5 linked regions of the Coturnix japonica genome follow. The protein of the gene in region 3 interacts with the protein of the main gene of each other region in a pairwise test. Links are inferred from orthologs where the notes say so. Each region holds a gene or a part of one and is shown on either strand. Other genes may lie near its edges.

Region 1 (3,750 bases), on a different chromosome or scaffold from region 3:
TATAGGTCTCCTCGTACTCATTCCAGAATTGTAATTTTTTTCATCTTTCTATTTATTTTTTAGATAGAAGCTGCTGAAGTTTCAATACTTCCTGAAGGTATATAGTAAAAATAACAATAATAATAATAAAACCAAATTTCTAAGTTAACTCTATTATATTTTTCAAAAATGGCAGGCAAATTGTTGGGTGATATTCTTTTACTGCTTTGTTCCTTCTAAATTGCACAATGAATTTTGTTTCTCGTGTGATAACTCTAATCATCAGTGGATAAATACTGCATTGAATTAGAGAAGTTACATGATGAACACTGCAGAATACTGAAACAAAGTGATTGTTGTTGATTTTCATGAGGTGGGAAGACTTACATTGCAAAAAGACAAGGAATCTAGGAAGCCGAGGAAGCTTAAATGACTTATGTGGAGGAATGTGTTATGGTAAAATAATGTTTCTTATGAATATGAGAACGCTGAGATGGTAAAAGAAACAATAGGCAGGCAGTCATGCTGCAGCGCGATGTGGAATGAAAGCTCTTGCTGATAAGAGTGCTTACACAAGATCTATTTTAAAAGCTTTTCAAATACATAGGACACACTGCTGGAAAATCTATTCAAGCAATTACATTGAAAAAGAGAGAGGAGGAAGTCCCATAGACTGAAGAGCAGTTGTGTCCTAAATGAGTGGTGTGTGTTATCCTGGGAAGACTGACTTCAGAAATTCTGAAGTGATTGCGCTTGTGTTTCGATTTCATAAATTCATATTGTTGTATTGATTTCTATTATCAGATGGATGGGTTGTTTTTCTTTTCTGAACTGAATTACAACTAATGTAAAGTTAGCAAATACTTTAGTATTTACTGTTCCTTGGGATTTATGATGATTTCAGTTAATGTTCAGCTTTGGACTTTGTTTCACAAATTATGTAGGACATGTGATTTAAGGAATTGTGTTGAAAATGTTGAAGTAGTTGATTTGAATCGCAAGCCTAGGAGGATTTCCATACTATAAGCAGATGAAGAGAGTCTGGGAAAACAAGGACTGAAAAGCTCTCGAGTTTTCCAATGCAGTACTTAAAAGCAGCATAACTCTCAAATCAGAAATGCAGTTCTTTTTGCTAAATATCTGCAAAGGTGTTTTAACTATAATGAATACAATCAGATATTATGTTAAATATATATATATGTATATATATATATGTATATGTATGTTAAATTGTGGTGTTCTTTTCTTTTCCTTTATTGTTTTAGATGACCTCTTACAGAATCAGTTGGTACAGAACGCTGTACACATGGGTTTCAGTTTGTCTGAGATTAGGAGCACTATGGAAAAGAAGTTGCACGTGTCTGGAGAAAGCTATACGTCTGTTGAGGATCTGGTAGCAGACTTAATAAGTGCTCAGAAAGAAAATATAAAGGGAGAACCACCAAAGGAAAGCCCGCTTGAGCAAGGTGAGCTTAGTAAACTGTAAAACCTACATGTGTACTTTCACAATAACTTGTTTGTCTATGAAGTATATCCTATCATTAACTATTCATTCTGCCCTCTGACTCAAGTATTGCTTAATATGAAGTTACAATATTGGAGCTTAAAGTTTTATATCTTATTTTTGGGCATCAAAGAAGTGGAGCAAGGGGGTGTTAAAAAATATTTGAGGTTAGTAGAATGTCACGTGCAAAATATATTTAGTATTAATACCACAAAACATATTGAAATAATAGTTCAGTACCCTCTGAGGTTAGCTTTTTAGCCAGTGTTACTGTGACAATGGCAAGGATAATTGTAGATATGGGGAAGTAAACACAATTTATTGTCAAATATTCAGTGTACAAAAAATTTAATACTACACTGCTAAAATGTTTCAAGTGTAAAATTGGTGCCATTACTAACAGCACTGAATAGAAGCATTCTCCTTCCTGGCCAATAAGGAACTGCTCCAGTTGCTACTGAACAACATTCCTTTTTAATTATTTACGTTGCAACTATGTTTGGGCATACAAGTCATTCTCAGAAAAGCCATTGTGGTATGCCCTGCTGATTGACCAGAAACAAGTTGTCCCACTCAAGAGCTTATTTGTAGTTTAAAGACAACCATATGGATGAATTCAGAGGGAGAGAAAAGCCCATCTGGTTGGCATGATAGACAGAGAGCTCACTAGCCCGTCCCTTTTAATAACATTTTTCATGGATATTATGCAGAGAAAGAACTTGCAATGAAGATGGGCATTATTTTTGTGACTGACTGCAGGGAACTTTCCCCATGCTGCAGAAGGCTTTTGTAGTGTGTATTTTCAAATGAGGCTTACTAGAAATTGCAGAGCTAATCTACAATGCAAAACAAATTGTTTCTGTATGACAGTTTTTTAAGCTTTTGAAGTATAGGCATTTTCATAAACAGAAGGACGGAGGGAAGTGATATCCTCATTCTTTAGCCTGAGGAAAATTGCTGGGGAAAAGTAAATCCAAATTACTTAACCAGGATTGATTATCCTTTCTTCCACCTTCTGTGTAGGTTTTGAGAAAGCTGTCTGTGGGAAGTCTCTAAAAAAACAAATGGCTCCTGGTTGCAGTATGTGTATCTTAGATTCCACAGATATTTCAAGGTCTTACCAACAGAGATGGCTGAATTCCCTGCACTGGTCTGGGAGGTGGGGGGAAAAAACAGACGTTGAAGATTTCATTTTAGTTTGGTTTCCCGTCTTGTGTGGTTTTGTCTGTGGGTTGTGGGTTTTTTTGCCTTTTTTAAAGGTGTAACTTCTAAATGACATGGAAAGGAAATCCTCTGTCTTTCTGTGGAGGGGGGAAAAAATGAGATGAGATACTATGAAAACATACTAACTACTTTCTGTGTGTTTATTCTTCTTAGATCTCAGTATCGAAGAGAAGTTAAGACGCCTGCAGGAAGAAAAGCTCTGTAAAATCTGTATGGCTAAAGACATATCAGTAGTCCTCATTCCCTGTGGTCACCTGGTTGCTTGTAAGGAATGTGCTGAAGCAGTCAATAAATGTCCACTGTGTTGTACAAATATTATAAAAAGACAGAAAATTTTTATGTATTAGTGAGATGGTGCAGTACTGTAGATGTAACTGTTTCCTGCTTTATTTCTTTAAACGTGTGTAATGTGATAACAGACGGTTGGGTGTTCACCAGTCTAGCACACACGGCGCATCTCACTTTGGAGATAATGTAAACAGTAAAGCTTTAATCAACACCCTGAAAAATGAGTTGACTGTCAGAAGCTGCTAGATTTTTGTTTAAAGCACTCATCCTACTGCCTCCTTAGTGCTCTCCTTACTTTCTGTGCTTTTACTTTGAAGTTGTGTTGTAAAATAACTGTTACTGTATTTTCAGCTCTGTTTGTATTCATGCTTCTACTAATCTTCTGTGAATACAGGAGTTAAGTATACACATGTTCTTTCAGGAAATGGCACAGGAAAACTGGGGGTTTTGATTGAGTAGCACTGATGCTGCATTTTTTTCCCCCACTAACAAGTATGAGAAATCAGAGAGAGTATATAAGTAGCAGAAAAAAACCTGCTTTTTATAGACCATGTTTCTACTAATTACCATTTGCTCAGCTCATTCGTCAAAAATAGACCTGCTTAATTCTCTCTTCTAGTGGGACCAGGGGTAACAGCCTCATCAGAGGAAATAAATTGCTTTAGGGTAATTTTTATGATGTTACTTTGAACGTTCAGATGCCTGAATAGATTTTCTGGGATTAAAATTCTTTCTGATTCATTGGATGCTACATG
Region 2 (4,365 bases), on a different chromosome or scaffold from region 3:
CCAGCCATAAGAAGGGGACAACTAGGGACCCAAACTCAGTTCCCATCTGAGTTTCTTATTTTCAGGAAGTGCCAATCATCTCTTTGAAAAGTATGGCCAACCTAAGGTACCTCAAATTAAGAGTGAAAAGAATGAACTCTTTTTTGAATATGCAGGCTCTCCATTAGCAGAAAATCCCCCCCAAAAGGCTGAAAAGCATGCTTTCCAGGCACCACGCTACCAAAAGTTGAAATCTGCCCAGGTAATATAAGAAAGTTTCAGAATAACACAATACTCTCCAGCTTTAATTTTAGTTCATGCTCTGCTTGTATTTTATTAAGTTCCTGGAAACAAAGAGAGGCACTTTCCAGGAAACAGAACTAGCAGGTTTAGCACCAGGCTTCAAATCTCTCCAAGTTGAAACTCGTTTGCCATGTTCTTCCCTTCTTCTTCATATATTGGGAAAGTGATGGCGATGAGCTCTTTCTCCAGCATTTCCAGTTGAGTTGTAATGTCTGACACAGTGTTTTTCACGTTATTCAGCTGCAGCTTCAATTTCTTGTACTCTTCCTGGAAGAATTTTTTCTCATCTTGGAGAGCGTGAAGGCTGTCTCTGTCATCAGCAAGACATTTCTCCTTGAGGAACACCTGGAGAATCTGGTATAAGTCATGGAGAGCCTGAAGGATTTCATTATCATCCTCTGCGGTTGGTGCAATCTTGGTGTCATTCTGGGTTGGCGTGGTGCTCTCCTCTTTGGCATCATGCTCCTCCTGGGAGGATGTGCCAGGGCTACCTTCTCCCGCAGCTGTGGTACATTCAGTGACCTTCTGAACTGAGCTGGCGCCTTTGTTCTCTTCTTGGACTATGAAGGTTGGTTGATCTTTCCAAATGCTGGGAACTGTTCTATTCTGCTTATGGAAAAACTCTAAGAAGCTGCTTCTTTCTCTGACCAGCTGGAGAGCCTTGTTGCTTGGACTGACCTGAAAACCTAAATGCCTCTCTGGGAAGAACGAGGACAGCTTATCTTTCTGGAGGCTTTGCTGGATGATGTCACTGTAAACAAGCTGGACACCTTTGTTCTGTGTCTGGAGATATTGCAGAGCCTTATTTTCTTCCCAGAGCATCCTGTTTTCGATACGGAGGACTTGGTTTTCCTCCCAGAGGGCTCTGTTCTCCTCCCAGATGCTCCACTCGTTCTCTGTCTTCTTGTTAAGGAGTCTCCTCTGGGATGCAAATGTTGGCTGGCAGTGCACCTCATTCACCCATTTACCATCAATAAATGTAAATGTCTCATCCCTCAGTTTCATCCGTGGGAAGACACAGTCCATCTCGGGCCTTGTACCCCGTGTGCTCTGGTTTGTCAGGTCAAAAGCAGACATGGTTATCTGTTGGCAAACAGAGAAAGATTGTGAAAAGACTTCTGCAGGAGGCCACTGCAGGAGGCCACTGCCCACTGGCAAGGACTAGATGACACAGAAGCTGGAGATGAAGCTTGATTAGGACTGCAAGAACAGGAGAAAACAGGCACTAGTGGAGAAGGCAAAGCCTTGGTGGCACCACAAAGTTTGATACAAAAACCTGGACTCTCTTTTCATCCCCTTGCATCAGTTTTACAGTCATGGAAGATAAATAAAATGCAGAAAGTCATATGAAATGAGATTGAGATTGAACTGCTTTTTAAAACAAAAGTATTTGTTTCTTTTTACCACAGCATAAAACTGTTGGGTTTTTTTCTGATAAAAAAAAAATGGTAGGCTGACTGCCAGTTTTTATCCTTCTTGCCCCAAAGCCTTCCAGTCACCCTCCTGTCCTATATGGCATCCAGTGCTGCCATATGACTGGTGGGCAGTCATTTTGCCTCTGTATCTGTCCCAAGCACTTGGCAGGGGGTCAAAGCCATGGCCCAGCTCTGCCAGGACACTGAACCCTTTGTCCTGTTTTGCCCCACAACCTTCACCAGCTGCTGCCTCCCTGGGCTCCTCCAAGTTACTTCTGAGACCCACCACCCACAGCTACCTCCTTCTTTGCCTTCCCAAACTTGCTTGAAAGCTCAAAGACATATTGCTACTGTTCAAAGCCCCAAATCTCTTCTTGAAGGAATAATTGCAATATGGGTCTGTTTGCCGTAACACTTGATTTTATTGATATAAGGTCTCTGCTTAACTTTCAGAGCTGCCTTCCGCATTGCCATCTGGTATATCTCACATCAGACTTGTGTTTGCATAATGTCATTCCTCTGCTAAAAGGGATTTCCCACTGTTTGCAACTGCTTGCCAATTTCCGCGTTTATTTTTCCCCCTTACATTGTGTTCAGAGCACAGCGAGCAATTTGTTGCTCCCTGCCTCACACAGACCTGTCCTTTTCCCTCAGAGGGTGCTGATGTCCCTGTCATTATCCCCATGATGGGAAGCTGAATCACAGGGGGAACTGATCCCTAAACCCTGATGAGAAAACAGCCAGCATCACAAGCCAAGACCCACCCTTCACTGTGTTTCATGCGCAGGCATTTAAAGCCACTTATGTTTAAAGTGTTTATATGGCAAGTTTTGAGGATAAACAGCAGTATATAATGTATACAGCATTGAAGGATGTTGTCCTGGGGTCAATTAAACTTGACAGCACCTCTATCAGCTCCTGTGTATTGCAGGGGAGAGGTCAACCCAGGCTTCAGAGAAATTTTCCCACCTTCCTTATTCATATTCCCAAACTAAAAATTCCTTCCACAGGATGGGGAGATGGGTTGGAGGAGCAGGGTTGGGGGAGACCGCATGAAATCAAGCATATATAGGTGTTTTGGCAGTACCAAATTACATACCAGCATGTACTCACCTGCTTGTTGGAGATGATACTCTACCCTCTTCACTGCCCTGCACAGCTGCCAGGTCTCCGCTTGGCTTTTTAGCCTGAAGTTCTGCTCCAAGTTCTGTATGGGGGGGGCATGGTGATGAGATGGGACAATGGAACCCACTGTGATGCGATCACCACGCCCAGAGCCAGCCCCTTCTCCACAAGTCCAGGAGCTCCCCCCTCTCCCCCCTCACAGCCCATTTTGTTTTATTTTTCCCAGCATTGCACATTTGGGTCATTTCTCATGGAAACGACCTTTCCAGTAGCCTAGCTCTCACGTCCTTTCTTGAACCCAGGCTTCCCTCTCTGATGCACATAACTGAGAGCAGTTTAGATGGATTCTCCCTCCATCACGCTCTCCTAAAAGAAATTTTGCTTTTATTCTGAATCTAACACATTAATTCTCTGGCTGAACCAATGCTGATAAGTTCAAAAACCACTTCCTTCTGTGTATGCGCTATGACAGCTGAAGTTATTTTTAAAGGACAACATGGATATGAGTTTTTCTGTAACTATAAGTTAAAGAGTAGATCATCACTGAACCCCATTAAGAAGAAAACAGAACATGCAGGGCATTCATGCATTACAAGTTTAGATATTATTTATAGCAGCTATTCCTGCTTCCATGTCTTTATGTTTCTAATAATCTCATTCTCTCTCTTATTTGCTTAATCTTTTAGATGTGGATTATTTCTTCATCTTTTTTCCTGTCATCAGGGTTTTTGAATAATAAATACAGCAATTAATGTCTATTCCAGTGAAAATTACCAACTTGACATCAATCCCAAAGTGACTGTTATTGCTTTAGGAAGTTAAAGGTATAGTTTGGCTTCAGTGTTCTGCAAAGATAATAAACTTAGGCATACAATTCTCTTCTGTATTTTTTTCCTTGTTTCTATTTCATCTCAGACAACACAATAAATAAGTAAATCAGAAGTTCCCATGACAACTCCCCGGGGTTCATTCTCCTCTGTTCAAGTTCTGGGGTCCTACAAAGAGAAACTGGAAAATATCCCCCTAAGAAGTAGTTGGCCTTCAGTCAGATGGCAGTGCCAGGGTGCTGTCCAGCTGCTACAGCTCTCAGGGGAGGCAGCTGAACTTCTGAATACCTGAGTGTGTGGACCACTGGCACAGACCTTAAATGAAAGTTTTAAGTTCTAAGAGCCGACAGAAAACTGAGCTAACAGAGACAAGGGCACCGTGGATTTATCAGCAGGCAAAGCCTGCTTGGTCCAGAACTCCTAGGAACTAAGTTAGCTGCATACTTTCACTTTTTCTTATGCATTTTCTTATTGTCCTGAATGTTGGATAAAGTTCTTCTGGCAAGTCACTTCTTTGTTGAAAGTTACAACTTCAAACAGTAATATATTTGGATCCAATTTAGCGAATATCATCAGATGTGCATACATGTATGTGGAGACACACACCAGAATTGTAAAGACACAGCTGTTCACGGCAGAACTTTTCAAAGCAACTGCACTGACTTCTGAGCTATATTGTCCTAAGGATAAGGCTGTCATTCACAAGGCTGTGAAGG
Region 3 (4,013 bases):
CCATGGGGACCCATTGACATGGAGATCTATGGGGACCCATTGACACAGAGATCCATGGGACCCATTGACACGGAGATCCATGGGACCAATTGACACAGAGATCCATGGGACCCATTGACACGGAGATCCATGGGACCCACTGACATGGAGATCCATGGGACCCACTGACATGGAGATCCATGGGACCCACTGACATGGAGATCCATTGGGACCCACTGACATGGAGATCCATGGGGACCCATTGACACAGAGATCCATGGGACCCATTGACACAGAGATCCATGGGACCCATTGACACGGAGATCCATGGCACCCATTGACATGGAGATCCATGGGACACCCATTGACATGGAGATCCATGGGACCCCACTGACATAGAGATCCATGGCACCCATTGACATAGAGATCCATGGCACCCATTGACACGGAGATCCATGGGACCCATTGACACGGAGATCCATGGGACACCCATTGACATGGAGATCCATGGGACCCATTGACATAGAGATCCATGGGACACCCATTCACATAGAGATCCATGTGACCCATTGACACAGAGATCCATGGGATCCATTGACATAGAGATCCATGGGATCTATTGACATAGAGATCCATGGGACCCATTGACATGGAGATCCATTGGGACCCATTGACATGGAGATCCATTGACATAGAGATCCATGGGACCCATTGACATAGAGACCCAGGAACAGCCCATGACGGACAGACATCCATCTGACAGACATCCATTGAAGCCTCAAAGCCGGTGTTTACCCACGGTAACCGGTTCTTTACCCCACTCGGTGCCGGTCCATCTCCGTTATGAGCTCCCCAATTACTATTAGCATTACTAATAGCCCCGGTTACCGGCAGCGGTGACACACACACCTATAACAACACTGGGAGCTCCGGGACTCCCGAACAGCATAGAGGCGATCAGCGGCTCCCCCACAAGCACCGGCAACGCTGTGACCCGTTAATACCCGTTAATATACCCGGTAATACCCGGTAATACCCGGTAATACCCGGTAATACACCCGGTAATACCGGGACCGGACATCCCGGAAGCGCCGTTTCCCATCTCATAACACATAACCCCCGCCATGTTCGGGTTCAACCCAACAACACCGGAAGCTCCACACGACCTCAAGTTGCGGCCTACCCCCACAAACCGGGGCCTACGGAACCACCGGGAACCCCCTAAAGGCCCGGACCGCTCCCACAGGCCCTACAGGCCTCATTACAGCCCCATATGAGGCCCACCCGACCTAAGATGACCCACATGCTCACCGGGGCACCATGGGTCTCACGCCGGTCTCCTCCGGTCCCGGCGGCCTCAGCTCCCAGCACCGAGCGCCCCTCCCCCCGCCACGCCGCCACTCACTTCCGGTCCACGCCCCCCGTCACGTGACGCAAGAACCCTAAAGGAGAATGGGGGGGGGTTGGTGAAAGGGCGTGTCTCTTAGAGCAATCAACCAATCAGCGCGCGAATCGTTAAGCCCGCCTTCTGGGAGCTGACCAATGAGAGCGCGGGGCGGCGGCGTTTGAAAGCACCGTTGAGGGGAACCGGAAGTGGAGGTGGGGGAGGGGGGAAGCAACGGCCGCCGTGGGGTTGAGGAGAGGGGGCGAGGTGGGGGCTGCCGGGAAAGGGGCGGACCGGGAACGGGCGGCAATGGCTCACAAGGAGATCTACTACTCCGACAAGTACTTTGACGAGCAATACGAGTACCGGTGAGGATGATGGGGGGGGGGAATGGGGTTGTTGTTTGATGGGGGGGGGGGTTTGGGTGGGGGGGGCACCGGGTTTGGGCCTAGGCCTGAGGGGGGGGGGGGGAATGGGCCTAGGCCTGAGGGGGGGGGGGGGGGAGCTGGGTCTAGGCCTGAAGAGGGAGGGGGGGCTCCGGGTCTAGGCCTGATGGGGGGGGGGGCACCGGGTTTGGGCCTAGGCCTGAGGTGGGGGGGGGGTAATGGGCCTGGGCCTGATGGGGGGGCACCGGGTTTGGGCCTGAGTGGGGTGGGGGGCACTAGGTCTAGGCCTGAAGGAGGGGGGGGCAAGGGGAGGGAGGGGAGGGAGGGGGGGGTTCCGGGTCTGGGGCCTGATGGTGGGGGGGGGGGAATAGGTTTTGGCCTGGGCCTGATGTGGGGGGGGGGGGGGGGGCACTGGGTCTAGACCTGAAGGGGGAGGGGAGGCGCCGGGTCTAAGCCGAGGGGGGGAGGGAAAGAAGGGAGGGGAGCTCCGGGTTTGGGCCTGATGGGGGCACCGGGTTTGGGTCTGACGGGGGGAGATAGGGTTTGGGCCTGAAGGGGTTGGGGGTAATGGCCTAGGCCTGATGCGGGCTGGGGGGGCTCCGGGTTTGGGCCTAGGCTTGATCGTGGGGGGGGGGCATCGGGTCTGAGTCTGGACCTGAAGAGGGAGGGAAGGGGGACAAGGTTTGCTCCTGAATGGGGAGGGGGCTGCACTGGGTCTGAGCCCGAAGGGGGAGGAGTGTGGGGGGACAGGGACAAGGTCTGGGCGTGATGGGGGGGCACCGGGTCTGAGCCTAGGACTGAAGGGGGAGGGGGATGGGCAGGGGTTTGGGCCTGAGGGAAGAGGAGGGGGGCACCGGGTTTGGGCCCGAAGGGGGAGGGCTGGGCACTGGGTCTGGGCTGGTGGGTGTGGGGTGGGGGTGGGTAACGGGCCTGGGCCTGGACCTGGACCTGATTGGGGGTGGGGGGTAAGCATTGGGTCAGGGCCTGTGGGCGGAGCACTGTGTCACTGCCCCTGGCTGAGCAACCCCTGTGACCACAGGCACGTGATGCTGCCCAAAGACATCGCCAAGCTGGTGCCCAAAACCCACCTGATGTCCGAATCAGAGTGGAGGAACCTGGGTGTGCAGCAGAGCCAGGGCTGGGTGCACTACATGATCCACGAGCCAGGTGAGCCCCCGTATGGCCGCCCTATGAGCCCCCGTATGGCCGCCCTATGAGCCCCATATGGCTGCCCTATGAGCCCCCTATGGCTGCCCTATGAGCCCCCTATGGTTACCCTATGAGCCCCATATGGCTGCCCTATGAGCCCCCTATGGTTACCCTATGAGCCCCATATGGCTGCCCTATGGGACGTGGGCTCCATACCCACAGCCTGGCTTGAATCTGTTCTATATCCTATATCCCCACAGAACCACACATCCTCCTTTTCCGACGGCCGCTGCCTAAGAAGCCAGAGAAGTGAGCTCTCCCCGGGTCAGCCACAGCCCTCGGCTGCCTGGGCTACAAAGCACCTTCATCATCATCATCATCATCATCATCCTCCTCTTCTTCCTCTTCTCTTACATACTCTGCTCTCAGGAGCTTCCCTGTCGGGGGCAGAGCCACTGGGTGCCCCTGATGCTCATGAACTCAGTGCTATCTGGGCACCTGCAGCGGCTCAGCCCCAGGGCACAGCGCTGCGGGGATGGGGTTCTCAAAAGCTTCAATAAAAGGATATTTGGGAGCTGCTGTGTGCTGCAATTCTGCCTTTAAGGGGGGGTGGGAGGCAGGAGGAGCTCCTGGTGCATAGCAACAGCCCTTCCCTGGGTGGTTTTGGGGGCGTGCTATTCCCTCCCCCCCCCCCTCCGTTACCCACCGCCCTATGGACCCTCCCCAACTCCCCCCCCATGGACCTTCCCAACCCCCCCCCATGGACCCTCCCCAACCCCCCCCCCATGGACCCTCCCCACCCCCCCTCCCCCATGGACCCTCTCCAACAGCCTCCCCAAGGGCCCTTCCCAACCCCACCCCCCCCATAGGACCCTCCCCAACCCCCCACTCCCCCAATGGACCCTCCCCCCCGGACCCTCCCAGCCCCCCCCATGGACCTTCCCAACCCACCCTCCCCAGCCCCCCCATTGACCTCTTCCAACCCCACCCCCCCATGGACCCCCCACCTCCCCCCATGGACCCCCCCACCTCCCCCATGGACCCTCCCACCCCCCCCACGGACCCTCCCCAACCCCCCACCACCCCCCACGGACCCTCCCCAACCCCCCCCACCC
Region 4 (3,750 bases), on a different chromosome or scaffold from region 3:
GTATTCCCTCCCATAAGGGCTATTGCAATTGAAGAGGGTCTCAGGAAGATTCCCTTTTCATCAAAAGATGAGAATCATGGGAATGACTGCGGCCTTACCTAATGACAAAATCTCGAAGCAGGGCAAATTCACAGTGAGTGAGGTTTTCCACTGAAAAGAAAGCAAGGAAATGTTATGTGTGGTTTTTCAGCAACCTGCTGGTCGTTACAGAGCATGGGATGGTCATTGCTATGGGACATGCATGTTTCAGGTGGCATGCTTCAGAAAGAATGGACAGTTGTGTGAACAGCAGATAAGCTCTCAGGCATTGAGCAGATATGCTGAGTGGTCACAGGTGGATTTTCATTGGAAAACCAAGGAGCTCAGCTTCACACACCCCATGGTGTTGAGAATGGTTCTGCTAGTTAGCAATAGTAGTACCGCACTGACAATGGCAGCTCTCTCCAAGCAGAGCTATTTGAGAGTTCTTGCTTGGCTTCAAACAAAACAAAACAAAACAAAACAAAACAAACTAATACAAAAACTCCAAAAAACCCACAAAGGCAAAGGCATGGGAAAGTAGCAATGGGACATGTTATCAGGACCCTGTCATCATCTCCCAAAAGCAAGAATTCCCTTACCTTCAATGATTCCCCAAGGTGTTTTCCTGCCCAGGACTCTTTTGCCATTCACTTGGTACTCCTTGTCACTGCCCACTACTGCGAAGGGCATGCTTTCCTGCTAGGGAAAGACAGGTGGAGAGACCTATCAAACCTGTTCCAGAGAGCAGCACCATCACTGTTCCTTAGCCACCTCTCCTCCTTGCAACTCACCAAATGCAAAGCCTTCTGCAAGGGAGGAGATTCTGCAGAGCAAAACTTCACTCATCGTTGCTACCAATAGCATTTTGGGCTCTTGTTTCACCAGTGTCCTTGCACCCCCTGGACTTGGTGTGTACCTTACATCAATGACAAAAACTCCAGAGAAGGGAGTAAAGCTTTTCTGCACACACCTCCAGCATTTCTGAAGGGCAAGGTGACCAGAGAGGAAGCGCTTTGACATACCAGGTGAGTGTCATCCTGGGGCTCCTCACAGGAATAGTTTGCTGAGAGTATTTCTCATCAAATTTGCAGTTTTTTGCTAGAAAATTTCACAATAATCCCCTCAACAGAACATTCAAAGATCAGTTACTGAAATGGTTGCACTGAGGAAGGCCAGAAGACCCTGGGAGGTGGGACAGTAGGTGAGACTATTGTGGATCAAGGTAGCTTTACACACAGGGAGAAAATTCATGCTTCCAGAGAACAGGGTGCATGAGTTACTACTATCCATAAGGCTGTCTGGTTATTCATAGATTTATCCTGGTTTGTAGACTTCCCTAGGAAGGGATTGCAATTACCACAGGAATGGGATATTTTGTTCTTTATTATTATTTACTCTATTATTTTGTTTATTTCTTACATGTGAGACTGCCAAACCCAGGGCAATTAGGCTGAAGCACAGAACAAATTGTGGTGCCTTCCTCACAAACAGTAGCAGTTTGGAGGAGAAGCAAAACCCATCTGGTCTCCCCCAGAGAGTGTGATGTGTTGCCAAATGGGAAATGATTAATGAATCCGGGGGAGGTGGGAATCTCTGCTGGGGCTATGGCAGCTAGGGAGCTTGAAAGAGCAAGTGTCAGGCTGCCAGGCAGTTAGTTACTGCTAGAGTTTCCTGGCAATTACCACAGAAGACAATATTTCTGTGAATAGTTAAGCCCTAAAATTAAAGAGTGGGCTAACTAAAAGCAGAAGTGTCACAAAGCCAGGAGGAGTTGTCTGTACAGAGGCAGACTGGGTTATTATCCAGAAAGATCTATGTAAGTCTGAGGTACGGAGAGCAGCTTTTAGGGAACAACACCAAGAAGTTCTGCTATGACTTTTGAGTTTGTGCACAAGAAATGACTGAAGGAGGGGAAGGATCCCATGTGCCAGTCAGTCACAGGATGACCATGCGTCACCAGTGTGATGTGATTGCTCAGAGAGCACATGTGGTCCAAGGGCTTAGCAGTTCAGACCTCAGAAAAGACAGGAGTATTGGGTACCCACACCAGTGCCAGAAAATCAAATCAAACTAGAACAGGCACATAATAAAGTAATAATGGAATAGAGGAAAATGGGAAGCTCAGCCAAAGGAGCTTGTCTCATTTAGCTGACCAGAATAAGGCCAGCACAGGATAAGACTGATCTCTAGTTGATGGGACCAGTAGGTAGGAGAAATGTTCAGGTCAGTGTTGGCACAAGGACACATATAATCCTGGGTACAACCTGACCATGAACAAACACAAGTTGGAAATTGGATGGTTTATACCTCTCTGAGGTAGAAAGAATGAGACATCCCTTCTCAAAGGAATTGGCAGGACAATGCTCTGGACTGCTTTTCAGGTAGAGTTTGGCCTGAGCTCAGGAGATGATTGTTTGGGACAGGGATGAACTTGGCCCTTTTGTCCTTAGCAGAGGCCAAACAACATTCAGCAAGAGGAGGTGAAGTACAGTCCATCCTCACTCAGCCTTCCTAGCACCCTCTGGAGATGACAGGGACAAATTAAACTAGGAAGGATGAATGGCATTCTCTTGTGTCCACTGCACCTTTTGCTCAGAGAGCATGAAGCACTTAAAACCTAGTGACACATGTCTGTTTTACTCATTAAATCTGACCAACCCTCAACCACCCTTCCCCTCCCACAATAAAATGTTTCCTACCCTGATTTTGTCGTTTTCTGTTTTATCCTCCAAGTCCTCATCAAATTCTTTCTGAGGGTAAAACTCGATCCCATTCACTTCTAGTTCTTTGCGCACCTGGACAGAGATAAATTTTGGAGCACAAAGCAACATAAACCTGAAGGGAAGGCAGGCAGGATGGTTGGGCAGACATATCTGGGACATCCTTCCAGTGGGGAAAGGCTAGAAGGACTGTCCCCATTGAGGTGTGAAGCAAAGTGAGGACACACAATAACAGTAACAAGTCTTTCTTCCCCATCCCAATCTACTTATTTGGCTCTGTAATTCCCATGACCGAACATATCATGGAATGTCACAGGGATGCCTGCTGTTCTTCCCCCTCTATTAGATGTGATCTCAGAGCCATGGACAGCTGCATCTTCAGGGCAGTGCCAGGACTTACCCACCAATCCAATGCTGGCCTCTAACTGCCCTGTGGACTGAATTGCATTCCCAGCAGAAAGGATATGGCTCATTTCTCCAATCTCCCAGCCAGGGAAGGGAGGGATCCCATGCAGAAGGAGAGATACTCACTCTTTGTTTGAATTCAGTCTTCTCCTCCAAGGTCATGGTGTCAGCCTTGGCAATAACCGGGATGATGTTCACTACCTTGCTGAGATGTTTCATGAACTCCAGGTCCAAGGGCCGCAGGCTGCAGCCCAAGAAGGAACAACATGGAAGGGGTCACTTTACCCTCCTTGCCCTTCTAGTGACTGTCCCAGCATCAGGGCATCAGCGAGACCTCCATGTTCCCATCCATCCTGCCCACTCCCAAAGAAAACACAATTGTGTTTCTCCTGCCTTTGTCATCCAGACCCTTTCAAGCCCTGCAATGCCTGAAGTTAAGCTAATAGCATCCAGCCCTGCTGGAAGGAATCCTGGTCCCGTGGCTGAGACTGAGCAGTACAGGGTGTATATCTGCCATATGAAGTGGCATGAAGGAGATCAGGAAGAACAGGGAACTGCATACGTACGAGTGGCCCGTGGGGGAGATGAAGTAGAGGCAGCAGTG
Region 5 (4,397 bases), on a different chromosome or scaffold from region 3:
TAGGGCTGGAAAACACAGACCTAGGCTTGAGCTCATGCAAATCTCTACTACCCCAGCATGACTTCGGTGGGTGAACACAAGTGAAATATTCTGCATTGACAAAACCACTCTAGGCTATACCATGGACCCTTCTGGTGCCCAAAATATCCACACATCCTTTGCCACCTGGCCTTCCAGACAGAGCAATCTGTTCTTTTTCCTCCTGCCAGGCAGTGGGAAACGTGTCTGAATGTTTGCTCTCTGAACAGATTGAATTATGTAGGAGAGCCCTTCCTGGAGGATGATTTGTGTTTGGCATTTTGCAAGAGAGTCACATTAATGTGAAGGTAAAAGGTGATGTTCTTGATCAGAAAGATCTGGGCTAAGCCCACCTGATTGCTTGGAAAAGCCCAAGCTATAACCCAGCAGGGATTGGGATGAGCAGACTTCTCCCTCCATTTGATTCCTTTAAATGTCACAACTCTGAATTATACAGAAGCCAAATAAAAGTAGCACTTAAAGCACTTAAAGAAAGAAAAACGGAGGCTCTGTGCCCATCTGATAAATCCCTCTGTGTCTACGAGAGCACAAACTCAGCCCAAATGGTGGGATAAAGGGAAAGAGGCGCACACCTATAGGGAGGCATAGCAAAGCAATGGAGCAGGTCGCAAGCAGATTACAGAAACACAGCACATGTGGCTGTATAAATTACCCCTAAAAACACACAAACAGTTGCAGTAACCCCAGTGCAGCCCTGCAGTGATATTTGGGGTGTTCCCAGGTGCCAACCCTCTGTGTCAGAGGGATGGAGAGCAGATTCCCTGCTAACACCCATGCAGCAGCAGCGGCAGCTCCGGGGTCTGCGAATCTGCTTTGTGTTAAGAAGAACCATAAAACTTTCAGCAAAAGATGAAAAACACGTCTCACATTGGCACAAAGGCAGATTTCCTTGTAGGAAGGAGTGGCATAAAGTAGGATAGAGAAAGAATAACTGCCACCAGCAGTAACCATCAGCAAATACAAGTGTTACCGAGCTAAAAGAACAATAATCCCTCCAAAACTTTGCACGTGCACAAAAGTCACCTAAAACAAAACGTTACAACCAGGCCTTAAATCAGTAAATAATCAGTGAAGTGCTTTCTTACTTTTATTTCCCACTTCGCTTCTTGGCTTCAGGAATCTGCTGAATTCCGTATGAAGGGCTTTTTCCAACCTCAAAACTCGGGGAATTTTGTTAACAGTGCAATAAAAATAACTTCATAGTGTCACAGGGAAACATTAAAGCCCTTTTTTGTGCACTGCTCTTCCCTCCCCCCTACCCCTTTTTTTCTTTTTTGGGGGGGAAGAAAAAAATACAGACATTGTTTCTTTAAAAGTCTCCATCTGCAAATCCCATTAGATGTGCATATAAGGTTTCGGATGATTAATAGGTGCTGCTTTGCTTTGGTTGGAGGGAGCGGGTGTGTGTACGTTAACCCCTCCCTCCCCTCTCTCACATTTCACTTCACAAAGTTGTCACTCTCTCCCCAACATAGTATTTAAAAAGTGTTTCCCTCATGTCCAGCACTTCACAAGGACTCCAGCATCAGCTTTGGGACTCTGTTTGGGGCGATCGCCTCCTCCATCCATTTGGGACAATGAACACCTCAAGAAGAGTTTCCAAACTAACAAACCTCCAACCTCACAAACCCCCCAGCCAAAGTGTCGTTTAGGGAGGAAATCTGGGCTGTCAAATCTGGAAACATTTCCCCTCCTCTCCTCTCCTGCTTGAGGAACCTGAGTGACGAGCGTGGGACGAGGATGAACCCCACCGGAGGCAGCTGCATGCGCAGCCCCCAGTCCCCAGCCCCACTCTGGGGGTGCCTGCGGGGTGCCGACGTCCCCACAGCCCCAGGGTTGGGTCACTGCCCCCCAGCCCCTTTCTCCTTCCACCCCAAGGTGGATTTTGCTGCTTATTCTGAATTCTCAGCCTCCTGCTTGCTGAGCTCTGCCCACTGCGTCCCACCTGAGGAGCAGCCCCCAGCTTTCCGTCCTCACTCTGAGTGGCAGCAAGCAACAACAGAGGCCAGGAGACTGCTGAGCCCAGGGCTGGTGTTGGCCTCTGGGGACACAGAGAGCCCCAACGTCGTGAGCACAGCAGCGGGTGTAAGTGAAGATTACGAGGTGCCAGTAAACAGCACGATGGAGACAGAGAGAAAAGGATCCAAAAGGAAAAAGGAGCACTCAGGTAGGTGGCGTGGAAGTGGGGGTGTGGGGTGGGATGGGGAGAATATCTCATGGAGTAAAGCTGATGGAGGAAATATTTTGTGATTCTTGACTAGGGAAAACTATGCAATATCTCAATGGAAATGAAGTTGCTTGTCCCTTGATGACCTTTGGTGTTTGAGTTTTGCTCCTTATTGGCTGAACCCAACCCTTTAGGCAGCAGCTCAGTGCCAACTCAGTGCCATGCTGCGCTCAGAGCCCTAGGATGGCAGATCCATCCCACTGCTCTGCTGCAGTCCAAGGGTGATAGAATGGGGATCAAAGGGCTAAGGTCCCATCAGCTGCCCGTGCTAGCTGGGAATGCCACTCTGGGGTTTTGAACTGCCCACCAGTAGAATGCCCAGCAACATGGGAAACAATCAGTTTTCATTGTGCCATCCTTGCCAACAAAGCACCTTCTTCCTGAAGCATTCAGGAATTACAGACATAAGACATCTGGTTTGTTACTATTTCAGTTCTCCCGATATGTGAAATATGCAGAACATTGCTTTCTCCTAAGGAAGCTGTTAAGATTCAGATGCTTCCATGCAGACATTTTCTACAGTATTCATTTGCAAACCACAGAGTATTGAGAAGCAGAGGGTATTTTCCAGCATCCCCATTTTATGGTTTCAGAGCCAAGACATGGAAATGTTTCTAAGATGTAGAAAAGATCAAAATGCACTTAAATCCTCAAAACTTTCTTTAAAGAACCAATAGATTCAGAGCAGCTACAGAACGGTTTCACTGTGTGATAGTAATAGGAGTATCTGCAGTAAGACCTCACGTGTGAGCACACACATCCCCTTCTCTTCCTCTACCAGTGTTCATTATTTAGATGCCATTTTCAGCCCTGGTGTCCCAGGCACAGCAGTGACCTGAAGATGTCAGTTGGCTTTGGGGGAGCTTTCACAGCTGCCCCTGTGCCTGCCACCCTCTATTCTATGCTGTACAATTTAGCAAAGCATTTATAGAAACCCCTTTGCAATTACAGCATTAAAGAGGCTGAAAGGTGTTGTAATGACTTTGGGCTTCATACATCTTTCATTTACTACCAAGGAAAGACCTAACAACACCACTCAAGCAGCAAGGAAATTCCAAGCCCTAACCCTAAACTAAATTAGCCTTTAAAAGCATAAGATAAGCACTGAAAGTTCTGGGATGCCCACTGGGTGGAGGTTGAGTCTAAAGAAACGCCTCCCTCTGATTTCACACGTTGAATGTTGTTGAGAATGGCCAACTGCAGACAGGCAGTTTGGATACCCCAACTTTAGCTGATGATTAAGGCATGAGCTGAAGGATAAGACAGCAAGAAATAGGCATTGCTGTAATGATGTGTAGTAACATAGTGATTCTGACAACTTTGCTAAGTCATGCCTTTGGGTAAAGAGGGTGCTTCATGCTTTCAGGTCCCATTAACAGCCACAATGGCATAGAAAGCAGAACATAAGGGCAGGTAGAAACTGAAAACCTGAGCAAGAAAAGTGTAGGGAAGTCCCTCAGCAATTTAAAGTGATCTGGGGGCAGAGCTCCATCTGTCACCACCCCGTGTGCTCCACTCCATGAGGTGCCCACTGAAGTTACTTGTGGTTATTACTTTATCGCTGGCTGCCAAATGAATCAGCTCCCCATGAAGTCACTTCACTTGGCCAACGTTCCCAAGAGCTTTCAGGATTTTATGCCCCGTGTGACAGCAAAATCCATCTTACTACTTGATTTGCAATAAATCTGCCCTCAAACTCTTTACTAGGGGGAGAAAGCAACGTTATGCAGATACTTTGGATTTTTATTATGCCTTCTGCTGAGGGAAAAACTGCACTGACAGTGGTTTGCAGAATAACAAGCACCAGGTGCCTCCACCAGGGCTGTGGATCACCACAATGACCAAACAACCTGTGTTACCATTGGTGACCCCCATGCTTGAGCTTAAGCTGCTCTGAGGGATCGGAGAACCCCCTGAAATGCCCAAATCCTGCATTGTGTGGTCCTTTCACCTTCCCCAAAGCAGTTTGCCAGCTAAGCCTCTCTGCCATACATCTCCTTTCAACACCAAGTGGGGCACTGCCTGCTCTGTTCCCAGAGGCTATTTCAGATGATTCACATTGTTTGGAGATGAAGACCAGTGACACCCTCAGTGCCATTTGTCCAACAGTTTCTGCTCAGCTTGCAAGCAG

Evidence for each region.
Region 1: the proteins of cyclin-dependent kinases regulatory subunit 1 (region 3) and XIAP interact in a two-hybrid assay, tested with the Homo sapiens proteins (3 studies listed by BioGRID and IntAct). The two-hybrid records come from large-scale screens. The link is inferred for Coturnix japonica from reciprocal best matches to the Homo sapiens genes CKS1B and XIAP.
Region 2: the proteins of cyclin-dependent kinases regulatory subunit 1 (region 3) and CBY2 interact in binary tests that used the Homo sapiens proteins (3 or more experiments, as listed by UniProt). The two-hybrid records come from large-scale screens. The link is inferred for Coturnix japonica from reciprocal best matches to the Homo sapiens genes CKS1B and CBY2.
Region 4: the proteins of cyclin-dependent kinases regulatory subunit 1 (region 3) and SEPTIN3 interact in binary tests that used the Homo sapiens proteins (3 or more experiments, as listed by UniProt). The two-hybrid records come from large-scale screens. The link is inferred for Coturnix japonica from reciprocal best matches to the Homo sapiens genes CKS1B and SEPTIN3.
Region 5: the proteins of cyclin-dependent kinases regulatory subunit 1 (region 3) and MEOX1 interact in binary tests that used the Homo sapiens proteins (3 or more experiments, as listed by UniProt). The two-hybrid records come from large-scale screens. The link is inferred for Coturnix japonica from reciprocal best matches to the Homo sapiens genes CKS1B and MEOX1.

The regions. Positions count from the first base shown.
Region 1 is NC_029519.1:14,628,190-14,631,939, reverse strand, and holds part of XIAP (E3 ubiquitin-protein ligase XIAP), read left to right. Parts: intron 1-63; coding exon 64-97; intron 98-1,244; coding exon 1,245-1,445; intron 1,446-2,860; coding exon 2,861-3,054; 3' UTR 3,055-3,750.
Region 2 is NC_029516.1:150,251,634-150,255,998, reverse strand, and holds CBY2 (spermatid-associated protein), read right to left. Parts: upstream 2,911-4,365; 5' UTR 2,811-2,910; intron 1,366-2,810; 5' UTR 1,360-1,365; coding exon 382-1,359; 3' UTR 283-381; downstream 1-282.
Region 3 is NC_029540.1:1,427,933-1,431,945, reverse strand, and holds cyclin-dependent kinases regulatory subunit 1, read left to right. Parts: upstream 1-1,610; 5' UTR 1,611-1,672; coding exon 1,673-1,731; intron 1,732-2,788; coding exon 2,789-2,916; intron 2,917-3,158; coding exon 3,159-3,211; 3' UTR 3,212-3,472; downstream 3,473-4,013.
Region 4 is NC_029516.1:45,099,110-45,102,859, forward strand, and holds part of SEPTIN3 (neuronal-specific septin-3), read right to left. Parts: coding exon 3,713-3,750; intron 3,391-3,712; coding exon 3,273-3,390; intron 2,817-3,272; coding exon 2,721-2,816; intron 721-2,720; coding exon 621-720; intron 151-620; coding exon 99-150; intron 1-98. UniProt on the Homo sapiens protein: Filament-forming cytoskeletal GTPase. May play a role in cytokinesis.
Region 5 is NC_029542.1:2,906,884-2,911,280, forward strand, and holds the start of MEOX1 (homeobox protein MOX-1), read left to right. Parts: upstream 1-1,516; 5' UTR 1,517-1,779; coding exon 1,780-2,206; intron 2,207-4,397. UniProt on the Homo sapiens protein: Mesodermal transcription factor that plays a key role in somitogenesis and is specifically required for sclerotome development. Required for maintenance of the sclerotome polarity and formation of the cranio-cervical joints.